3 linked regions of the Arabidopsis thaliana genome follow. The protein of the gene in region 1 interacts with the protein of each later gene in a biochemical or structural test. Each region holds a gene or a part of one and is shown in the gene's direction. Other genes may lie near its edges.

The links.
Region 2: the proteins of AT4G39270 (region 1) and AT2G01210 form a complex in vitro, tested with the Arabidopsis thaliana proteins (one large-scale study listed by BioGRID).
Region 3: the proteins of AT4G39270 (region 1) and AT1G51810 form a complex in vitro, tested with the Arabidopsis thaliana proteins (one large-scale study listed by BioGRID).

The regions. Positions count from the first base shown.
Region 1 is NC_003075.7:18,273,642-18,281,249, forward strand, and holds AT4G39270 (Leucine-rich repeat protein kinase family protein), read left to right. Parts: upstream 1-2,669; 5' UTR 2,670-3,232; coding exon 3,233-5,127; coding exon of another isoform or gene 5,128-5,215; coding exon 5,216-5,344; coding exon of another isoform or gene 5,345-5,348; exon of another isoform or gene 5,349-5,424; coding exon 5,425-5,447; coding exon of another isoform or gene 5,448-5,485; exon of another isoform or gene 5,486-5,521; coding exon 5,522-6,069; 3' UTR 6,070-6,300; downstream 6,301-7,608. Other genes in the region: CCR1 (cold, circadian rhythm, and RNA binding 1), read right to left, coding at 525-926, 1,210-1,317; AT4G39280 (phenylalanyl-tRNA synthetase, putative / phenylalanine-tRNA ligase), read right to left, coding at 6,651-6,701.
Region 2 is NC_003071.7:118,048-124,396, reverse strand, and holds AT2G01210 (Leucine-rich repeat protein kinase family protein), read left to right. Parts: upstream 1-2,416; 5' UTR 2,417-2,662; coding exon 2,663-4,133; intron 4,134-4,208; coding exon 4,209-4,888; 3' UTR 4,889-5,127; downstream 5,128-6,349. Other genes in the region: AT2G01220 (Nucleotidylyl transferase superfamily protein), read right to left, coding at 128-181, 272-332, 474-543, 642-726, 816-914, 1,007-1,096; IAA32 (indole-3-acetic acid inducible 32), read right to left, coding at 5,178-5,244, 5,322-5,430, 5,510-5,761, 5,865-6,012.
Region 3 is NC_003070.9:19,225,852-19,235,018, reverse strand, and holds AT1G51810 (Leucine-rich repeat protein kinase family protein), read left to right. Parts: upstream 1-2,659; 5' UTR 2,660-2,732; intron 2,733-4,076; 5' UTR 4,077-4,434; coding exon 4,435-4,652; intron 4,653-4,732; coding exon 4,733-5,214; intron 5,215-5,408; coding exon 5,409-5,553; intron 5,554-5,627; coding exon 5,628-5,699; intron 5,700-5,802; coding exon 5,803-5,874; intron 5,875-5,946; coding exon 5,947-6,018; intron 6,019-6,101; coding exon 6,102-6,286; intron 6,287-6,378; coding exon 6,379-6,614; intron 6,615-6,705; coding exon 6,706-6,832; intron 6,833-7,082; coding exon 7,083-7,148; intron 7,149-7,247; coding exon 7,248-7,437; intron 7,438-7,530; coding exon 7,531-7,900; 3' UTR 7,901-7,945; downstream 7,946-9,167.

The DNA.
Region 1 (7,608 bases):
TCCTTTCACGATAAAAAGATGCCGACAAAAAGAAAAGTAACGGAAGGGGAATATTCGATGAATATCTTGTTGTCTATATATTCTCAGTCAAAAATTTAAACAGAAGATACTAGTATTAAATACCCAATGTCCACATTGGATCGGCGCAAAACTGAGTGACGATCATTTTCGATAAAATAGCACTAATTATTGGTAGGTCAAAAGTTAAAGAACTAATCAATTTCAAACTATAGTAATTATTGATAAGAAAATCATTTGAATCCTTTAGCTGCTGTTCGATTAAATACATGTGTCTAACAAGATAAATTATTTGAGGGAAAATCTCGAATCTGGTTAAAAGGAAACGTTATAAATTTAGTAAACAACACGCGAATTAACATTTCGTTCCAGACAAAGAAGACTTAAACGAAACTGTTTCATCAAAAAAGTAAACCAAACGAACGATAACCAAACCAGAAGTGGTGACACAAAACCAAATCTAAACCAAAAACAGAGCAGCAGCACGCAAACAACTCTATCTTTGATTACCAGCCGCCACCACCGCCTCCGTAACTTCCACCATCACCGCCTCCGTAGCCACCTCCCTCACGGCGTCCACCACCACCGTATCCTCGGCCACCACCGCCTCCACCAGATCCGTAACCTCCGCTACGTCTCTCGTAACCACCACCGCCTCCTCCTGAGTATCCGCCGCCACCGCCTCCTGAGTATCCACCACCGCCTCCGCTGCGGTAACCACCACCGCTTCCACCACGGCCTCCTCCGCCACCGCCGCTACCTCTCGACTGAGCCTCGTTCACGGTGATGACACGTCCATCGAGCTCTTTACCGTTCATCTCTTCAATCGCATCCCTCATGGCTTTCTCGTCCTTGAAGGTGACGAATCCGAATCCCCTTGATCTTCCACTCTCGCGGTCGTTAATGATCTGTAAACAAACAAAATCATACACATCAGCAAAAACAATCGTGGAAGGAATATAAAACAAAGCGATGAATATAAAGCAAAAATCGATCGATCTCCGAGCTCATAGAAGCAGGAAGATGAACGTACCGATGGGACAAATTAAGTAACAGTAACAAAGAACGAGAGAGAACATAGTAACAGTAATCGAATCAAGTAACAGAGAAACAGATCGGAATCAGATCCGTCGAGGATCAGAATCATCGGAATCGGCTCGATCCGGGAGACCGATCTCTCGTGTAACAGACCTTAGAATCGATAACGTCGCCGAACTGTGAGAACGTCCTTTGAAGATCTTCATCATTGGTGGCCCAGGCAAGGCCGCCGACAAAGCACCGGTACTCAACTTCAGACATTTTTTTTTGGGGAAAAGAAGAGAAATTAGGGTTTCAAAATGTAAGAGAGAGACTTATGTGATTTGAGGTGATAAGACGCAGCCTTAATTTATAGAACAGGTGTGACGTAATAACTAGGGTTAAACATGTTTTCTAGGGTTTGCTGAAAGATTTGTTTCAACTTACTCTGATTAAGATGTGTGGTTAATTGGGTTAGTGGTTAGGCCCACATCATGTGAGCATTTTCGATAACTAATGATTTTTTCTCCTCGTTTCGAGCAAAAAATATCTTTGTAAGAATATCTTTTATTCCTTAAATGACAATTTTGTCCTTCGTCTCGTCGTCATTATGTCATACAATAGTTGGGTCTGAGTTTCGTTTATTGGGCCTATCTAATTTAATTGGAAAGATTATAACTTCCGGCCCAATGAATCTGACGGCGAAATTAGTAAAACAATAAAATGAAATAATATGCAAAGACTATGACGATAATGTGCTATGGATTTACATATTTGTTTTGTCATTAATTATGACATGCAATAAATTCATATGAAAAGATTCTTATCGCAATAGCATCGTGGACATGTTACAGTCTGTAATATCCAAACTTTAGCATAGACGTTTTTTGTTGTACAAATATTTTGGTATGTTAAGTGATATTCAAATGAAAGCTAGATGTGCAGATATGTGAACATATAAATCTTTCAATGGAATTCAATTTTCAATCATTGAATATTTGGATACACTCGCTCTGTACTTGAAATATTTTGACTGTCTGAATATTATTTTTTTACAGGATTAATTATTTTGTATACCAAAATTAGACGGATGAAGAATGAAGATGTAGTAGTTATACAAAGTCAATTACAAATGGTTCAGTATCTTGATTTCGATTTTTGTGCTGAAAATGCTGACTAAAGCGTGTAGAAGAGCTTTTTCAACAAGAAATAACCTGGCTAAGATTTTTTTAAGAAATCTGATTATTAATATATCGCAGGTAATATGAAAAAGTATCGTCGACTTTTTATAAGAGTGACAACTAAATCATTTTGCTCATAATAAAGCCACAATTATTATTAGTATATTTTGGTCGTTTTAATACGAGGAAAAATAATTGTCATACAAAATTTACAGAAATGGAGTAGCATCGTAGCTCCTAGGAATTCAATTATTTATTTGCAAAACTACTAAAATGGTGGTTATCATATTAAACGTCAGCAGAAACTTTAAGTATTTTTGAAATGATATTAATTTAAGAGTTCGTTAAGCTGTCTTGGGCGGGATCGTTGAGAGTCAAACTCCTCAAACGACGCCGTATTCAGAACTTCACTTTCAATTACTGTATCTGCGTCTCGGTCACGAGATCGAACCATAAATCTTGGGAACGTGCACGTATACAACGAAAGATCCACCTTCTCTCACTTTTTTTATTTTCTTATACTTTCTTCTCTTTTCTTCGAACGGCCGCTGTTCTTGACCAGTCTGAAGCTTTCTCTGTCCAGAACAGTTCTGTAAGAAGAAGTTTTTATCAAATATTATATAAAAATATCTGTTTCGTATTATATCAGACTTTCCATCTTTCTCTCTCTAAATCTAGGACAAAAAAAAACATGGAAGAGTTAGAGAGAGAGAGAGGCAGCAGAAAATGATTGGTAAACAACAATGAATCGTTTTTGATTCTGAAGTGCACAGAGAAAAGTAATTGCCAGAGAAAGTCGCAGAGGTAACAGAGTGAAGAACCTTTTTTAGTATATATCTTTGTTGAATAATCACAAAAAGAAAGTTTCCTTTATTGATCGGATTCGAAGGAAACCCAAAAAAAAAAGAGATTTGATTATTTCCATAAATCGCGAAGCTTTTTTCCAATTGAATCTTAGGCAATGAATGGCTTTAAGTTTTTCGAAGTACTAGTCGTCACCAGGGTTTAGAGAAACCATGGTGGTTCTGAGGAAGACATCCTTGTTGGTCTTCTTCTTATTCCTCCTCTTGTTGTTAGAGTCAACGTTTGAGCAACAGACAAGTTCTCTGAATGAGAAATCGGCGCTTCTGCTGTTAAGGTCTTCTCTTGGGTTACGAAGCAGAGATTGGCCTGTAAAAGGCAATCCTTGTCTGAACTGGAACGGCATCAAATGTGATCAGAATGGTAGAGTAACTAAGATCAACATTTCAGGGTTCAGAAGGACAAGGATTGGGAATCAAAACCCGGAATTCTCAGTTGGTTCTCTCGTCAATCTCACCCGTCTAGCTTCCTTCAACGCCTCAAGGTTCTATCTTCCAGGTCCAATCCCGGCTTTGTTTGGATCGAGTCTGTTGACTTTAGAGGTGTTGGACCTTAGCTCCTGTTCAATCACAGGAACCATCCCTGAAAGTTTGACTCGGTTATCACATCTCAAAGTTCTTGATCTTTCAAAGAATGCGATCAATGGGGATATTCCTCTGTCTCTTACCTCTCTTCAGAATCTATCAATCCTTGATCTTTCCTCAAACTCGGTGTTTGGTTCGATTCCTGCTAATATTGGGGCACTCTCAAAGCTCCAGCGTCTGAATCTTTCGCGTAACACCTTGACTTCTTCAATACCTCCATCACTCGGAGACCTCTCTGTTTTAATTGACCTTGATCTCAGCTTCAACGGAATGTCAGGTTCGGTTCCATCAGATTTGAAAGGGCTAAGGAACTTGCAGACATTGGTAATTGCGGGAAATCGCCTTTCAGGATCCCTACCTCCTGATCTGTTTAGTTTGCTGAGTAAACTTCAGATCATTGACTTCAGAGGCAGTGGTTTCATAGGCGCTTTACCGTCCAGGTTATGGTCGTTACCGGAGCTCAAGTTTCTAGATATTTCTGGAAATCACTTCTCTGACATGCTGCCTAATACCACTGTCAGTTTTGATTCTACTGTCTCCATGCTTAACATATCCGGGAACATGTTTTACGGCAATCTCACACTTTTACTGACAAGGTTCCAAGTTGTTGACCTGTCAGAAAACTATTTTGAAGGTAAAATTCCTGACTTTGTGCCAACCAGAGCTTCATTGAGCAACAATTGTCTTCAGGGCCCAGAGAAGCAGCGGAAGTTGTCGGATTGCACTTTGTTTTATTCAAAAAAGGGCTTAACTTTCAACAATTTCGGACAACATGAAGAGAAGAAGAGTTCTAAAACTTCCTGGTTAAGCCACACGAAAATAGTTATACTTGCTGCAGTTGGAGGGTCTATATTGCTTATGCTCATTCTCATAGTGTTACCAATAACAGTGAGTTTCTGTGTCCGTCGAAGAAACAGATCATCAACAAGTAATCATCCTAGAGGAAGACACAACGGTGTTGGCCCATTACCTCCTGATGAAACACTTCCCTCAAGAGGAGGAGTCTCTATAAACTTTGGGAGTCTTGGATCATCATTTACCTATCAGCAGTTGCTCAATGCCACCAAGGAGTTCAGTGATTCAAACCTGATCAAGAAAGGACAATCTGGGGATCTTTTCAAGGGAGTTCTAGAAAACGGAGTTCAGATCGTTGTGAAAAGAATCAGCTTGGAATCTACAAAGAACAACGAAGCTTATCTAACCGAGTTGGATTTCTTCAGCCGGTTTGCGCATCCGAGAATAATCCCATTCGTAGGGAAGAGCTTAGAGAGCGCAACTCATAAGTTCTTGGTATACAAGTACATGCTGAATAGGGATTTACCAAGCTCATTGTTCTATAAATCCAATTCCCTAGTTGACAACGGATTGAGATCTCTCGATTGGATCACCAGACTGAAAATAGCATTGGGAGTAGCAGAGGGACTTGCTTACCTGCACCATGATTGCTCACCATCCGTCGTCCACAGGTATGAAAAACCATTCCTTTTACTCTTTTTTTACTTTCAAGCCACCATTAGTTCATTACTGATCTTGAGTCTTCCAATGTTCAATAAGGGATATTCAAGCAAGTAGCATTCTCTTGGATGATAAGTTTGAAGTTAGGCTTGGAAGCTTTAGCAAAGCTTGTCATCAAGAAAACAATGGCCGTCCACGGAAAATAGCCCGATTGCTCAGACTATCCCAGTAAGTGCCTCTGATTCATCATATAACCAATTTTGATTTAAACATCTAACAAACAAGCTTGCTACTGTTTCCCTCTTCAGGTCTTCTCAAGAAAGTGTTCCTGGTGAGTTTATCTTCAAATGCATAAAACAAGCTTGCTAATTTCTTAACTATTCTAACAATCCCTAAAATTCCCAGGGTCTGCAGCTACAGCAACATGTGCCTACGATGTGTACTGCTTCGGCAAGATACTTCTGGAGCTTATCACAGGGAAACTCGGAATCAGCTCATGTAAAGAAACCCAATTCAAAAAAATCCTAACCGAGATCATGCCTTACATTTCATCGCAAGAGAAAGAACCCGTAATGAACATTCTAGACCAATCTCTTCTGGTCGACGAAGACCTCTTAGAAGAAGTCTGGGCAATGGCAATCGTCGCTAGATCTTGTCTTAACCCAAAACCAACGAGACGGCCGCTTATGAGACACATAGTACAAGCCTTGGAGAATCCACTGAGAGTTGTGAGAGAAGACAGCAGCGAATCTGAGAGATTCCGTACGACTGGATCTTCGAGAGGATCTTCGAGTAGCGGTCGAATATTTGGTAGTTGGAGACAGAGCGTGTCTGATCCTGTCGCAGCGGGAACAAGTAGCCTTCTGTCTCAGGCGGAGGGTTTAGCGACTGGATCGTCAGCGAGAGGAAGTAGCCGTGGCGCGTCGAGTCGACGGAGTATGAAAGATGTATAGAAAGAAAGACACACACACACACGATCAATATTTATTTTTTGACGTCAATTTTTAATTATTTTTTATGTGTGGTTATGATTTGATCTCTTGTTGATAAAAAATTCCCGTTAATTTATAATATTTTTCGATGATCAAACCAGACCAGTCTTTTGAGTTTTGATATTCTCGGGTAGCAAACTAGCAATTCGTTTTGTATGGGGTGGGAATCGAAATGTTTTATACTTTGGGGCAATTATATAAAAAACGAAAAGTTTCTGTAATGATGTGTGAATGAGGCTAATAAATGGGCTGCTGTTATCTAACCACGTTGCATCTTTGCACTTAATGGGCCTCTTGGCCCAGTTACTTATTTATTTGATCTAAGTTCTTATTCCTTACATCGTAAATACCACCTCACAAACTTTATACCATACAAAACCAAATGCTAAGTGAAAATTAAATTTGACAAGCCAGATTGCAATTAAGAGTATACACATGTTTAAGATGGAATTGTCAAGTCCAATAACCAAAGGTAGAATTGTAAATACCAAGAGATAATCAAATAAAGTATCTTGAATCAAAAAGATAAATCAAAATATCACTCATATTCCAACTCGGCAGATCGGATTCCGTTTAATAAGATCGAGATCCACCTGCGACAAAATAATGACACATGGATTGAATATATATATTTCCAATAGAACAAAGAAATGTTTACACAAAGTTTTCTTGATAAGTGAAGATTTTGTGCATACCTTGTATATACAAAGAAAGACCGTATGTTTTTTCTAGCCTCTCGTCGAAAGCAATATTGAAAATCTCCTAGAGTGAATCCGAGTACTTGATGTTGTATACCTGAACAACCCACGATCTAAGATGAACACTCAATACATAAATTTTACCTTGTATTATACCCACGGCCGAAGATAGTTTGTGGGCTTCTAGAACCGTCGAACGGAGATGGTTTCTCACATAGTTGGGATAATAAATGGCTTGGAATGTGTTCCACAATTGATTGCATCGATAGTTGAGCCGTTACTCACATATGTTGTTTGAAGTCAGAAAGTGGGACCACCGGTCACAGTACATACATATTTTCAGAGTCACCAAATTTCTTTTCTAACGAAAACCACTAAAACCAGCAATTCCGTAAAGCAACAAAAAATACGTCTTTCTTAACATTTAATTCCGATCGGACTTGATATAAAATTTGAAAAATCTATTTTCGTTGGACGGAGGGAATATTACCTAATTATTATATGTACTGCATCTTAATTATTATTATTATTATTATATATATAGCTTTGTTACATAATCTGTGTTATCTAGATTCAATAATTACAAAAACCAAAACATCACGTAACACCAAATTAATTGAGAAAAAAAATATAAATATAGAAAAAAATAAAAAAAATATATTTAAAAAAATCTCAAGTAAATCATATAAAGCAAAAACAATTACGCCAATGTCGTCGTGCACAATGATGAGTTCACCGCAAATATCCAGCAGTTACAACGTTGTTAATGTTTAAGGAAATTTGATGTTGAGAGCTGCTTGGA
Region 2 (6,349 bases), on another chromosome or scaffold:
GTACTTGTTTGTAATACCAGTAACCAAACTAACTTGTCACTATTCCTAACAAAACTAGAGAAAGGAAAATCAGATAGCAATGGCCTAGGCAGATTAGTACCAGGTTGTAATTAGCTTAGTAACACACCTGGATCAGTGCACAGCTTGACACCTTATCTTCTTCTTCTCGGCTCCGTAAGTTCTAAAGTTTTCCACAATAAGAATAACATACATTGAGTAGTTGATAGAAAAGAGTAAAGCAATATGGGAGAGAGAAGGTTGCAGCAATCACCTTAGTTAGAGTGACTGAAGATTCCAAAATCCGGTCGGATGCTCTCATAGACAAAAAGAACCTATACTCTCGCGCAACAAACAAAAACTATGAGTGACAGAAAGAATAAAGGGCCATGCTAGAGAACTAGCTTATTGTGATAGCTTTCATTTCAAGCAAACAAGTATATTACTATAAAGAGCAGGAAACAAAATTGCATAACCTGTGATCTCCACGCTTAGGACGAGAAGTTACCAATGATCCCGTAAACCCGACACCGAGAACCGGATATCCTATCCACAAGATTAAGGAAGTTACACCAATCCACATTACTATATTCCAGGACTTCTTGCTAACAAAGGATGGTGAAGTGAAGAAAGAGAGCAAGTACCTGGTTTAGAGAGCTTAAGCGCCCGATTGTAGGCTAACAAGGCCATCTCCTTGGCCAATGCTTGGCTACAGTGTTGGCTCGGAACCTAAAAGAGAGCGAACGAAAATCAGCTGATTAATGGAGAGAAGAGAAACATCGATTGCTATAATGAAATTGAGAGGTTTATGAACAAACCCTGCCGAGTAATTGAACCATAGATACTCTCGAATAAGGAACCACGGACTCGAGAAGCGTGTTCGACGCTCCAGGAACCGACATCAACCAACCTAAAGCCTGAAAGAGAATTCAATTTCGATCACTCAAAAGCACAGAGCAATCACATACTTGTGTATATACGAATCAATCATAAAGAGAGAGAGTGAAACCAGAGAGGCACCGCCGCAAAGATAGACGACGGCCTGCGTCGGAGATGAGTGAATGGCTTCGACGACGGTACGGATCGCAGCGTCTCCCATTGTTTCTCTCGGTTTCGTCTCCTCCCATTGCCGTGCCAGCAAAAAGCCAAATTAAGCCCCCCAAAGTTTCCGTAATTTCAATTTATCCCCAACAGTTTCCGTAATAACAATTCATGCCCAAACGTTTCCATAATTACAATTTATGCCCAAAATAATTTTATATTGCACTAAAACCCAAGTTGTTTGATTTACTAGTATGTAGCCTCGGAGTCGTCGCCGTTAGTCCGTGAGGAGAAAATAGGCCCACTCTGGCACACTCTCTCTGGGTTTAGGTTTAGGTTTTTTTGGGGCTCTCTATCCTAAGAAACTAGGAGACATCACACTTCACCAAGTCTACTTATCGACAATTTTATCGTATCACCATAACGACAATAAGGGCCGGACTAATGTTTGTACACATGTCCTCTCCTTTTACCCTTTTAAGGCTTTAGCTAAATCTAAACCACATTTATAATCGTTTATTATATGAATCTTCTTCTTGCGAAAAAACATGTCAAGCTACTATTCTAAGTAAAATAAGAAAGATGAGCTGTGATTTATATGGTAAAGTAAGATATAAAAGAGGTAGTACTAGTACTGTAAAAGCAGACTCGAGGAATAAAGAAAGCAGGAAGAGCGTGGTGGTATCTTGTGGCACCTTTCTTCTCTAGTAAACTCCACTGTTATGTTTGCTCTCTCCCAATCGTAACTAGTTTGTTCAATGCTCATTTGAAACTACACTTGTTACTACTTGTTACTACACTTGCTACACTCTATTAATATGCATCACTTGGTATTTTATGGAGTTTCGTGCTAGAGCAACATCATCTAAGAAATAAAAAATGAATGATACTACTGTAGTAGTAATATATTGACAAGATAGATTAATAGAAAAGGACAAACACTGTAAATGTTACCTACATTGACACTTGACAGATCAATCAAAGGACCCCAATATATTACTTTTCGGAATAAAACAACAATCATGACAAAAGGTATTACAAGATGTAACTATTTGAATAAAGATATCTGCATTTGTAACATTTTGTATATAGGAGAGATTACAAAGATATTGGGTCTGATTGGTAACCAAAAGCTGGACAAGTTTTTTACCTGTTAGCTGAAGCTATTAGCTTTATCGGAATAGTGCAAAACTGTTAGAAGAAGCTGTATAAAAAAGCTGTACAAAAAAGCTAAAAGTAAAACTTTTTGTAACACTTTTAATAAAGTTTTTATGATCGATTCAAAACTGTATAAAGCTTAAGTTTGTTACCATTCAAACCCATTAGATTAGTGGTCAAATTAGCGTATGGATTACTTCGCCATGGCCTTCTCTTTTCTCCAACTTTCACCTCTTTCTTTGGTCATTTCTTTTTTTTTTGTTAATTCTCTTCTCCCAATGCAAAAACAGAGCTCTCTCTCTCTTTCTCTCTACTTTTTGTATTCTTTCTTTCTCCTTTTTCTTCAACGAGAGTATCTTTTTCACTTTACTCTTCACTCCATCAATATCACACTCTTCTTGCTACTATCTCTCTTTGCTTTGTACAAAGCCAACACTCGTCTTTTTGTTCTAATTTGCATCTGATAATGTTGGCCTCGCTGATCATCTTCGTTGCTCTTCTCTGCAATGTGACTGTCATAAGTGGCTTAAACGACGAAGGCTTTGCGCTCTTAACGTTTAAACAAAGCGTTCACGATGATCCTACAGGTTCTCTTAACAATTGGAACTCATCAGACGAGAACGCCTGTTCGTGGAACGGTGTAACTTGCAAAGAACTCAGGGTGGTGTCTCTAAGCATTCCAAGGAAGAATCTTTACGGTTCTCTCCCTTCGTCTCTAGGGTTTCTCTCCAGTCTCCGTCACTTGAATCTCCGGAGCAATAGGTTTTATGGGTCGTTGCCTATTCAGCTTTTCCATCTTCAGGGACTCCAAAGTCTAGTCCTTTACGGCAATTCCTTTGATGGGTCATTGTCGGAAGAGATCGGTAAGCTGAAGCTTCTTCAGACCTTAGATTTGTCACAGAATCTCTTCAACGGGTCGTTACCACTTTCGATTCTGCAATGCAACAGACTTAAAACACTCGATGTCAGCAGAAACAACTTGTCTGGTCCTTTGCCTGATGGGTTTGGCTCAGCGTTCGTCTCTCTGGAGAAACTCGACCTCGCCTTCAACCAATTCAACGGCTCCATCCCCAGCGACATTGGAAACCTCTCCAACCTTCAAGGAACTGCTGATTTCTCTCATAATCACTTCACCGGCTCAATCCCACCTGCCCTTGGAGATCTTCCTGAAAAGGTTTACATTGATCTCACTTTCAATAATCTCTCCGGTCCCATTCCTCAAACCGGTGCTCTTATGAACAGAGGACCAACAGCGTTTATCGGCAACACTGGTCTATGCGGGCCTCCATTGAAGGACCTTTGCCAAGGATATCAACTTGGCCTCAATGCCTCTTACCCTTTTATCCCAAGCAACAACCCACCTGAGGATTCTGATAGTACTAACTCTGAAACCAAACAGAAATCAAGTGGTTTGAGCAAAAGCGCCGTCATTGCCATTGTTCTCTGCGACGTGTTTGGTATCTGCCTTGTGGGTTTGCTTTTCACTTACTGCTACTCAAAGTTCTGCGCTTGTAACCGCGAGAACCAATTCGGAGTCGAGAAAGAATCCAAGAAAAGGGCTTCTGAGTGTCTGTGTTTCCGTAAAGACGAATCCGAAACGCCATCTGAAAACGTGGAGCATTGCGACATTGTTCCCCTCGACGCTCAGGTTGCGTTTAACCTGGAGGAGCTGCTAAAGGCGTCAGCTTTCGTTCTGGGGAAGAGCGGAATCGGAATTGTCTACAAAGTGGTTCTAGAGAACGGGCTCACACTGGCCGTACGGAGATTGGGTGAAGGAGGGTCTCAGAGATTCAAGGAGTTTCAGACAGAAGTTGAAGCCATAGGGAAACTAAAACATCCTAACATTGCTAGTCTTCGAGCTTATTATTGGTCTGTCGATGAAAAGCTTCTCATCTACGACTATGTTTCCAACGGTAACCTCGCAACCGCCCTCCACGGTGAGTCACTCTTTTCTCATTTCAAGATGCATTATTCAGTTACATCATCGTAAATGTGTGTGTGTGTATGTGCAGGAAAGCCGGGGATGATGACCATCGCTCCGTTGACATGGTCTGAACGGTTGAGGATAATGAAAGGGATTGCTACAGGGCTTGTTTATCTGCATGAGTTTAGTCCCAAGAAATACGTCCATGGAGATCTCAAGCCAAGCAACATTCTCATTGGACAGGACATGGAACCTAAGATCTCAGATTTTGGACTAGCACGGTTAGCTAACATCGCTGGAGGATCTTCTCCGACCATACAGTCTAACAGAATCATCCAAACGGATCAACAGCCGCAAGAGAGGCAACAACACCATCACAAGAGCGTATCTTCGGAGTTCACTGCTCACTCTTCTTCTGGATCCTACTATCAAGCACCTGAGACTCTCAAGATGGTAAAACCTTCACAGAAGTGGGATGTTTACTCTTATGGGATCATTTTACTGGAATTGATAGCGGGTAGGTCTCCCGCAGTGGAGGTGGGGACATCGGAAATGGATCTAGTGCGGTGGGTACAGGTATGCATTGAGGAGAAGAAACCATTGTGTGATGTTCTTGATCCTTGTTTGGCTCCTGAGGCAGAGACGGAAGACGAGATTGTTGCTGTTCTTAAGATTGCAATCAGTTGCGTGAATAGCAGTCCAGAGAAAAGGCCTACCATGAGGCACGTTTCTGATACGCTCGACAGATTACCCGTGGCCGGCGATTGAGACATCTAGAGATTGCACATAAAGCTTGTTTTGAAATTTGAAGCTGCAATGTATTTTGAAGCATAAGCCTGATGACACTAATGTGGTTACCGTTTGTTTTGTTTTATTTTGTTCTTTTATTTGTCCCAGTCTTGTTGGTGGTTGGTTATTAAGATGTCCCTCTCTTCATAATCGTATTTATAGCTTAAAGCTTCCATTACATCAGATATTGAACAATAGAACCACAAGTGAGCTAATTTGGATCTTAGATAATCAGTGAACGCCCCAGAAGAAGCTTGGACTTAAAAGCTTAAAAGGGAAGAAGAGCATCGTTTCTTCTTGCGATTCGCATCCGATCCACGCTTTCGACAAACTCCCTACAGGTTTCAGACAAATTACAAAGTGGTTAACTTAAAATGCTTAGTTTTTGTATAGAGAAAATGTAAGAGCTTACTTCCATGGAACATCCCCAACATTCCTCCAAATGCCTTCTCTGTCTCTGTAGACCAAAGAGAACTCAGACTCAGTCTGGAACAACCTCAATCCCGACACGGTCTGCATCCCTGCAGATTCGAATTAATGTGGCAAAACCTTCTGAAACATACTTGTAGCTGGAAGCTTGGGGGTCAGAACACGGCTTACCAAACATATCATTGAGCTGAAGAGCAAGAGTTGCGTAAGCTCCTTGATCAACAAGGCAAACCTTGCGCCCTACCACTAGGCCATCCAGATTTACCTTTACGTAAGCATATTTTCCTCTGCTCTCTCCTTCATTATTGTAATATCCTTGGGCAAGTCTTTGGTGTCCAGTGTCCTCACTCTTCAACTGTGTAATGCTGTTATAGCTGGGCTGCGACCAGTCTATGAGCTCTCCATACCCGTCGAGACCTATCACTTTGATTCACATATAGATATTGAAGGTAGCAAGTTGAGGATTAAGAAAACTAACTAATGATGAGGTGAAAGCACGGCTATTCAGCAAAAAAAAAAAACTCACTTCGCGCCGGTGGGAGGTAAGTTTCATGTTGTATGGTCCTAAGGCTGAGGCCTAGATCGATTACCCCACCACCCTTTTTGGTCTGTGAGTAATATGTATGAAACTTGGAAGAACCTTTGAAGAAGTCTGCAGGTGTGTTTGGGTCCATTGATGCTTTTTTATTTCTAAAGATGCAGAGAAGGGAAAGTGAGATGAGAAAAAGAGAGCTCACTTCTAAAGATTTATAGTATGAGCTGATGCTAAAAGAGTGTCAGAAGAGTTAAAGAAAAAAAGACAGAATTGCAGACATGAAAGAGACATAAGACAAGAAAAACCCATTAAGATCCAGTTGGTTTGAAGCAAGGGATGGGGAGCTGACCACAGAGAGAGATTTGGTTCAGATCTTGTAATCCAACCAGGTCTGCCAATGCTTCTGATGCACAAAGTCACATCTCAACTCTGTGAACACTGCAGAAATATTATCTGGGACTATTGACAACTCGATT
Region 3 (9,167 bases), on another chromosome or scaffold:
GCCATCATGTGCGGTCTTTTATCTATATACATTGTATCCTTAATTATATTTTAAATTGAGGTTTAATTATATATTTTATCAAGATTAAATAAAATGTATCTTTTTACGAAATATGAGACAAACATTTTTTCTATATTTTTCTCTAGATTGGCAGTGTAGTTACAATTACTTTTGGGTAAACTGTTAATGTATAGTGGTGTGCTTGACATGCTAAAAATGTGTAGATATTTAATATAAATATTATTCTATATTCAAAACTAAAACCGAATATAAAATCCACGCATCGCGTGGATAACTTCTAGTAAATAATATATTGATCATCTTTGTTATATATCGAGCTATAAACTCCATATTAATACATGTTACACAAAATCTTTTTTTGTCTTAGTGTGATACTTCAGTTTAAATTCCGCTGAGATATTAGTGTTGAAAGAATTGCATCATCACTTTCACATGCGGTAACTTTTAGTCAAAGCAGTGTTTTTTGTTGAATATTTAAGTAGTGTTTATTGTTGAAAATAAGAAGTGGTGGTTGCTCATTTAGTCAACAAAAGTAGGTTGCGAACTCTCTATAAATTGAGAGGAATTAAACGAGAGCAATCATCCCATAACATACAATACAAGAGAGAGAGAGAAGTTGCAATATCATGCAACGTAGAAATAGAGTGTGAGGTTTGAGAAAAATAAAGAGTGGTGTGAGATTTGAGTGTATTTGTTATTAAGTTATAAACTTTGTATTGTGAGTGATTTACAAATAAATATAAGAGTGTTTTCTTATTTTGGTTTATATATTTGTGGTTAATTTATTAATTGTGTATTTACACTATACCAAATATAATTTAACCCAATATTTAACCAACTATTCTCTACAATTAGAATGTGAAGATGAAAAGTAAAAGTTATTGTATCTGAGGAAAGAAAAGAAGAGACAAGGACTTTGTATTCATAATTGAATGGACAACCATGTGTCGTTAGCTCAACTGGTAAAAGTTTTAGGCGAAATTTAGAAGTCGCAGATTCGAGTGATGTTCGGGACGAAACTAATATTACATGCTATTGTTTCAGGTCTGTGGAGATTACGGGCTATAACCTAAAAAAAATTGAATGGGCAAATTTAAAGATAAATTACAGCAAAATAGAGTCTCGGTATCAAACAGAGTGATTTGATGAAAACAGAATGGAGAGGCTCTGCAGTTGCTAGCGTTTGACAACAATCACGAAAATTGCTTTATAACGTTTTAGACCAAGAGAAACCGCTACAATTCATAATCTCCTTTTCCTCAACATCAAGGTTTGCGTTAACCAAAACATCCCAATTCTGAAAATTTAAAAACGAAAACAAAATCATGACGGAGTTAGCGTTTGAAAGTTGTATGCACGTTCCAGTGTCTCTCTTGAAAAACTATTGAGAGCTCGTAATCTCTCAATATACCAATGTCTACATGTAATTGACATTTTCAAACACTTAAAACCTATTTTCCTAACCTGCCGTACATTATTTTTTTATTGTCGTACATAATCCTCAAAATATTTTAACATAGATTAAAACTATAGGAGTCTAGGAAGGTTGACAGTACACGAGAGGAAGATGAAGTTGACTTACTTAATGGCACCAGCATGGCACAATAGTTTTCTATCCCAAACCTGTACGAGATTCTTATATGTGTACGGATTTGTTAATTTTGAAAAAGGTGTGTAGAAAACCTCAAAGTTTGTAAATTTTGCGAGATAATTAAGCCTTAATTCTTTTTTTTTTTGAAAGAATGTAAAATTATATTCCACAAGAAAACTTGTTTACAATGAATGCATCTGTTTAGAAAAAAATTTGCGAGATAATTAAGCCTTAATTCATTATGAAAAATATATTAAAAAGACAACATGTGTCCGGCAAAAATTGTAAAATGCATAGAAAACCCCAAGTGTTCCACGTCTTCGTGCATATTGTCAGAAACTTTATCTGCCTAGTTTTCTAGTTTTATGCTGTTGTCAACTACAAGTAGGATTATACATTTTCTAAATTAGAATGGTGTCGCTTCGGTTTAGGTTAAGACATGATCATTTGTTTTTTTTCCCTAATAAAGACCTTAATCATTCGTTCGTTTGCATTTACTGTTACATTTAACGTGTACATTTTTCCATATTTATGCCACATAAAAATGGAAGGAGATCCTGCTGCTTGCATTTGTATTTTGGAAAGCAAAGTAAAATATATTCTACAAATATAAAATTAAAAAAATGTTCACATCGATCGGTTCAATTTGGTTTAGTTAGGTTAATGGAGATGGATGGCCTTTAATCTGAGAACAAGTACAACGTGTAAGCCTAGGAATAAACGTGAGGGATTTAGAAGGAAGAAGTAGCTGGAACATAATTGTTCAATGAGTCAATGGTCTTCTATTAATGTGGACATGAGATAATCTTCGAGCACTACTTTGTGTCATCGTTGAAGATTAAATTTCTCCCATTTTGCTCTCTGCCGTTATCAGGTTGCACAAGGAATTTCGTATTTTTAATAACTCATCAGTGTGTTAGTTTTTTTTTTTTAATATTCCCATTTGGGAAGTGGCTCATATAATATCCATGGATTGATATTATAAATTGAAAGCTAATCTCAGTTTGTTAAATGTTGAAATCTCCTTTTAGAAAGTCAAGCAGAAAAATGGAGAGACATTGTTTGTTCTTTGTGATTTTTTCCCTTATACTACATCTTGTTCAAGCTCAGGACCCAATAGGTACGTAACCTGTACCCATATTTGTTTATCGTAGTGATATTGATTTAAAGTTAAGTGAATAAATGACAAAATACAAAGATTTTTTTTAGGTTAGTTATTGGCAAAACACAACACATTATATATTATTAAATGCACTTCTAAACCAGATTTATTTAGGAAAATTGGTTTTAGCGTGCTTGCATATAGTAATTCTGAATATATAAAGATCACATATTTATGTGGCGTAGATAGATACTCCCTCCAAAAAAAAAAAAAATAGATACCCCCTCCACTTTATAATTGATGATTTAAAGAAAATAATTTGTTCTAAATTATATGATGTTTTCAGTTTTTAATACAAAATTAATTAACATGTGCAGATTTTTTTTTTTTATTATTGGTTATATTCTTAGATGGTACATAATTGATGTTTTAGTTTAGAAAAAAAAAATAATTGATTTTTAATTTGTACACAATCCTAAAACATCAATTATAAAAAAGATATCGATTTAATAAATTAGATGTCCATATATAGAAACAGGTACAGTAAAAAAAAAATGACATATTCTGCAACACTTAAATGACATGAACAAAAAGTCAAAAACTTTTATCAAAACTATATTTGACAAATCTCCAATATATTAATAGAGAAACACTTAAAACACACAAATTTTATTTTGATTTGTTATTAACGAGAATGTCATGCTAACATGTTGCTCTCGCAATGATTCTTCGCCAATTTCAATAATTATCCAACTTTTACTAGATTATTTACAGATTTTGCCATTAGTCTTATATACAAAATTCTAATAAAGAGTAACAATTAAGCAATCTAATCTTTCCAAAATAAATATATTACACAACCTTAAGCAAAATAATCAAGTAACTAATCCTTTCTTTATAAGAAACATAAAACAAAGGTTATGATTACTTGATAAAACATAAAAGATATGAATTTGATTCTTAAAAACATAGAAAGACATATTATCATAAATGGTAACATTTTGTCAATACTTTCTCCATCACGTTGAAGTTTTATTCCATGTTCAAATATTTATAGGTAAAACATATTCTTATAATAAAAAAAACTTTAATTACATGTTATGGATCATAAATAATAATTTTACTTGAATTGTTTTATTCCGCACAAATTGTGCGAGTTCTTATCTAGTTAGATATTATAAGTAAAACAAATAACACGTTGCAGTAAAAGAAAAACACTCGTCCGAAAGTGAAAGAGGTAAAATTTTCAGTCAAAACAAAGAAAATAAAGAAAGCGGTAACATCGTCCAAAATGCTCAAAATCCACTATTGTTCAATGTTCACTACTTGTCATTTTCCTAATACTTATTGCGTATTCTTTAGTCATAGGAACCTAATAATCGCCTATTAATGTAGTCTCCTACATACTATAGGATTCATCAATTTGGATTGTGGTTTGTCAATTCAAGGCTCTCCTTACAAAGAATCCTCGACCGGTCTAACATATACGTCAGACGATGGTTTCGTCCAGAGCGGGAAAATTGGTAAAATCACCAAGGAACTCGAGTCATTATACAAGAAACCGGAGCGGACGCTAAGATACTTTCCTGATGGAGTAAGAAATTGTTTCAGTCTGAATGTCACAAGGGGAACAAAGTATCTAATCAAGCCAACCTTTCTCTATGGAAACTATGATGGTCGTAATGTCATCCCGGATTTTGATCTTTACATCGGCCCAAATATGTGGATCACGGTGAATACTGATAACACTATCAAGGAGATCCTCCACGTATCGAAATCAAACACTTTGCAAGTGTGTCTTGTTAAGACAGGTACAAGTATACCTTATATAAATACATTGGAACTACGACCATTGGCCGACGATATATACACCAACGAAAGTGGCTCCCTCAACTATCTTTTTCGGGTTTATTATAGCAATTTAAAGGGCTATATAGAGTAAGAATCGCTTGCTTGATCATTATATTTTTTGCTCTAGAGTAGACAAACATATTATGTTTAATGTAAGTTTGTGCCAGGTACCCCGATGATGTCCACGATCGCATATGGAAACAAATCCTACCTTACCAGGATTGGCAGATTTTAACTACGAATCTCCAAATAAACGTTTCTAATGATTATGATCTACCCCAACGTGTAATGAAAACAGCTGTAACACCCATTAAAGCTAGCACAACGACGATGGAATTTCCCTGGAACTTAGAGCCTCCAACTTCACAGTTTTACTTATTCCTTCACTTTGCAGAGCTTCAAAGTCTACAAGCCAACGAGACGAGGGAATTCAATGTGGTGTTGAACGGAAATGTTACATTTAAATCTTATAGTCCTAAGTTTTTAGAAATGCAAACAGTATATAGCACAGCACCAAAGCAATGCGATGGAGGGAAATGCTTGTTGCAGTTAGTGAAAACGTCAAGGTCCACTTTGCCGCCTCTAATTAATGCTATGGAGGCTTACACTGTGCTTGATTTCCCACAGATAGAAACAAATGTAGATGAAGGTATGTGTGTTTTTCATATACTTATATTCTTTTCGGGTTTTAATGTTAAGCTTTAAATATATACCGAACTTGAATAGAAACTAGACTAACCATATATATAGTAGCTCAAGAAAGAAAGATAGAAACATGGAACCTTTGAAGACAGTTACAAAATATGAATATTGATATCAACTAACTTTATAAATAATTACTAGTGATTGCTATCAAGAATATACAATCTACTTATGGATTGAGTAAAACAACCTGGCAAGGAGATCCATGTGTACCCAAAAAGTTCTTGTGGGATGGTTTAAACTGCAACAACTCGGATGATTCTACGCCACCAATTATCACTTCCTTGTAAGGACATGATTTCATCGTTTTCCTACTTTTCTTTTGTACACTTAACATACTCATTATTTTTTCATCACTAGAAACTTGTCTTCAAGTGGATTGACTGGAATTATCGTGCTGACCATTCAGAATCTCGCCAATTTACAAGAACTGTCAGTATCAGATAACTATATAGATAAGCATCATTAGTTTTTAAAAAAAAAATGTTGGTAGAAATTACTAAGATGAATGGTTATTTTATCTTAATCGTTATAGGGACTTGTCAAATAACAACTTGTCTGGAGGTGTTCCTGAATTTCTAGCGGATATGAAGTCGCTCTTGGTCATGTAAGTTTCCCATGAGAATGATGTCTATTAGCCCTTGATCCTTGTGCTTGATCTATGTCTCTATCTAAACAGAAACTTAAGTGGGAACAATCTCAGTGGTGTAGTTCCTCAAAAGCTTATAGAGAAGAAAATGTTGAAATTGAAGTAAGAATTTGTATATTGTATTTGTTTGATACTAACATGTTTTTTTATGATAAACTAATTTTTTCTTGACTTGCAATCCAAAGCATTGAAGGCAATCCGAAGCTTAATTGCACAGTGGAGTCATGTGTAAACAAAGATGAAGAGGGTGGACGACAGATAAAGAGCATGACAATCCCAATTGTGGCATCAATTGGTTCTGTTGTTGCCTTCACAGTTGCATTGATGATATTTTGTGTTGTTCGAAAGAATAACCCGTCAAACGATGAAGGTATTCACATTATATTCATCGATCAAGATACTTATGAATACACACACATTAAACTTGCATAGTTTCATTGAATGTTTTCATCACAACTTTAGCTCCAACATCATGTATGCTACCCGCGGATAGTAGATCATCTGAACCGACAATAGTGACGAAGAATAAAAAATTTACGTATGCGGAGGTTTTAACCATGACAAACAATTTCCAAAAAATCCTTGGAAAAGGAGGATTTGGAATTGTATATTATGGTTCAGTAAACGGTACAGAGCAGGTTGCTGTGAAAATGCTTTCCCATTCATCAGCTCAAGGATATAAGCAATTTAAAGCTGAGGTATTCATACCACAACTCATAATGGAATTTTGTGTGAAACATTCCAGAGTTTCTTTCAAAGCTAATTTGGTGTATCATTATGGTACGTTAGGTTGAACTTCTTCTTAGAGTACATCACAAGAATTTGGTAGGCCTTGTCGGGTATTGCGAAGAAGGAGATAAATTGGCTCTCATCTACGAATACATGGCCAATGGAGACTTAGATGAGCATATGTCAGGTAAACATAATATTTGTTTTTACTAGAAAGGCAACATATTTGGTTTTCATAACAATACATCATGGTGAAACTATAACATACCAAATGGTAACTCTTTAAGAAAAAGAAAAACAAATAATAACTCAGAATAATATATTTTTTTGTCATTTACAATTCACTCATTAGTTATTTTTTTGAATATAATTTTGAATATTTGTCTATTGAATGTAAGAATCTAACACACATTAGTTATTTTTTTAACAATACATAGGAAAACGAGGTGGTTCTATATTAAATTGGGGAACAAGGCTAAAGATAGCTCTCGAGGCTGCACAAGGTTCGTATTGATTTCTCAAATACCTAACCTCATCATATTCTTTCTTTGTTTCTTTTGCTTTGACTGACTGAAACTTTGTGAAAATAATATTTTTCATAGGATTAGAGTACTTGCATAATGGATGCAAACCCTTAATGGTTCATAGAGATGTTAAAACCACAAATATATTGTTGAATGAACATTTCGATACCAAACTTGCTGATTTTGGGCTTTCGAGATCATTCCCGATAGAAGGGGAAACTCATGTATCAACTGTTGTTGCTGGAACTATTGGTTACCTCGATCCCGAGTAAGTATTACTTCTTCAATAAGAAAATATATTTTGTAGATATTTTGTCTCCAATGATTACGTAATATTCTTGCACTTTGAACTATTTTATAGATATTACCGAACAAATTGGTTGACGGAGAAAAGTGATGTGTATAGTTTTGGAGTTGTATTATTGGTGATGATTACAAACCAACCCGTGATAGACCAAAACCGCGAAAAGAGACATATAGCAGAATGGGTGGGAGGAATGCTTACGAAAGGAGACATCAAAAGTATTACTGATCCAAATCTCCTTGGAGATTATAATTCTGGTTCTGTTTGGAAAGCTGTTGAACTAGCAATGTCATGTATGAATCCTTCTTCGATGACAAGACCGACAATGTCTCAAGTTGTTTTTGAACTGAAAGAGTGTTTGGCCTCTGAAAGCTCCAGGGAAGTGAGCATGACCTTCGGAACTGAAGTGGCCCCTATGGCTCGGTAGAGGTCCTGATTATATTTCCTATTGTATCGCGTGGATCATTATTTTACCCTATATATCCTTTACAACTATCCTAAATTTTGTGCATCAATTTTATTTTTTGTAAGCAATGAACTTCTAATTACAATAGAAGTTCAAAGTCTTTTTTCCCCCATGTTTCAGTTTATTCCAACTAACCATGAATTAAATAATGGGTGGTGGTGCATGTTTCTTTTACCAAAAATAACCATGAATTAATAACTATAGCATTTGCTTATGACCCTTCAACTTCTAACATGCAGAGTGACCTTTGTATATAAGCAGCGTCACCTAAGAGATCCAGTCACCAGTACGGAAACAGAAGAAATTCCTGACAATAAAAGAAGCAAACTCACCTCCTAGCTTTTCAAATTACAAAATTGATGAAATTTGGTTTATAGATTCTCTTCATTGGGGCAAATCATAGAAATAGTTTGGTCGACATTGGGGCAAAACATGGAATAGAACGGGACAATTTTGGAAATAACAGATTGAGAGCATCAGCAACGGCAACTTCTCAACTTCCGATTCTCAATATATGTGTGAACATAAATATAAGTGTGAACACAAATATTATTAATATTTAATTGGAAAGTATTTTAATTAAACCAATGATTGAATGACAACTGTGAGAAACGTTGTCGATGAGTTTTTCTTGGTTTCTCTAAAGAAAACTTTCCCTTACCTCTCTCCTCCTTTTGACATTTTTTTCTTATTTTATTGGTGAGAGATTTTATGAGAAACTCCCGTTGGAGTTGGTCTGAGTGTCCTTCAAACATTTTTAAAATAAATATCACACATTCACACTATAACTGCTTATTCTACTTTTAAAACCATAAAATGATTGCTCCAAGCCATTGGGAATATAATCAAATATATATACTTAATCCAAAAGGTACATAAAATTTGGTGACAAAAATTTACTTTTTGTTGGAAAAAGAAAGTATCTGAGCAGAATATTGGACGGAGCAAAGAAACAAGAGAAGGATATCAAGTAGCACAACTTGACAAATTGACAAAGGATCAAACAAGATTCATATGTTGTAATAATCTATAGTCAACTAAGGCAACACATTGCTTACAAACTACAAAGTGAAGTCATTGTCATTAATGGTTATCAGATGATTACTTATGTCCACATAATATAGAAAAAAGCATATCCTTGACAATATTGAAGATAAGAAAATTCAAGGAGAATCTAAAGACTGATTGTTCTTTCGAGTTGACTTAGTCAACGGTTTTGTGGTTCCAA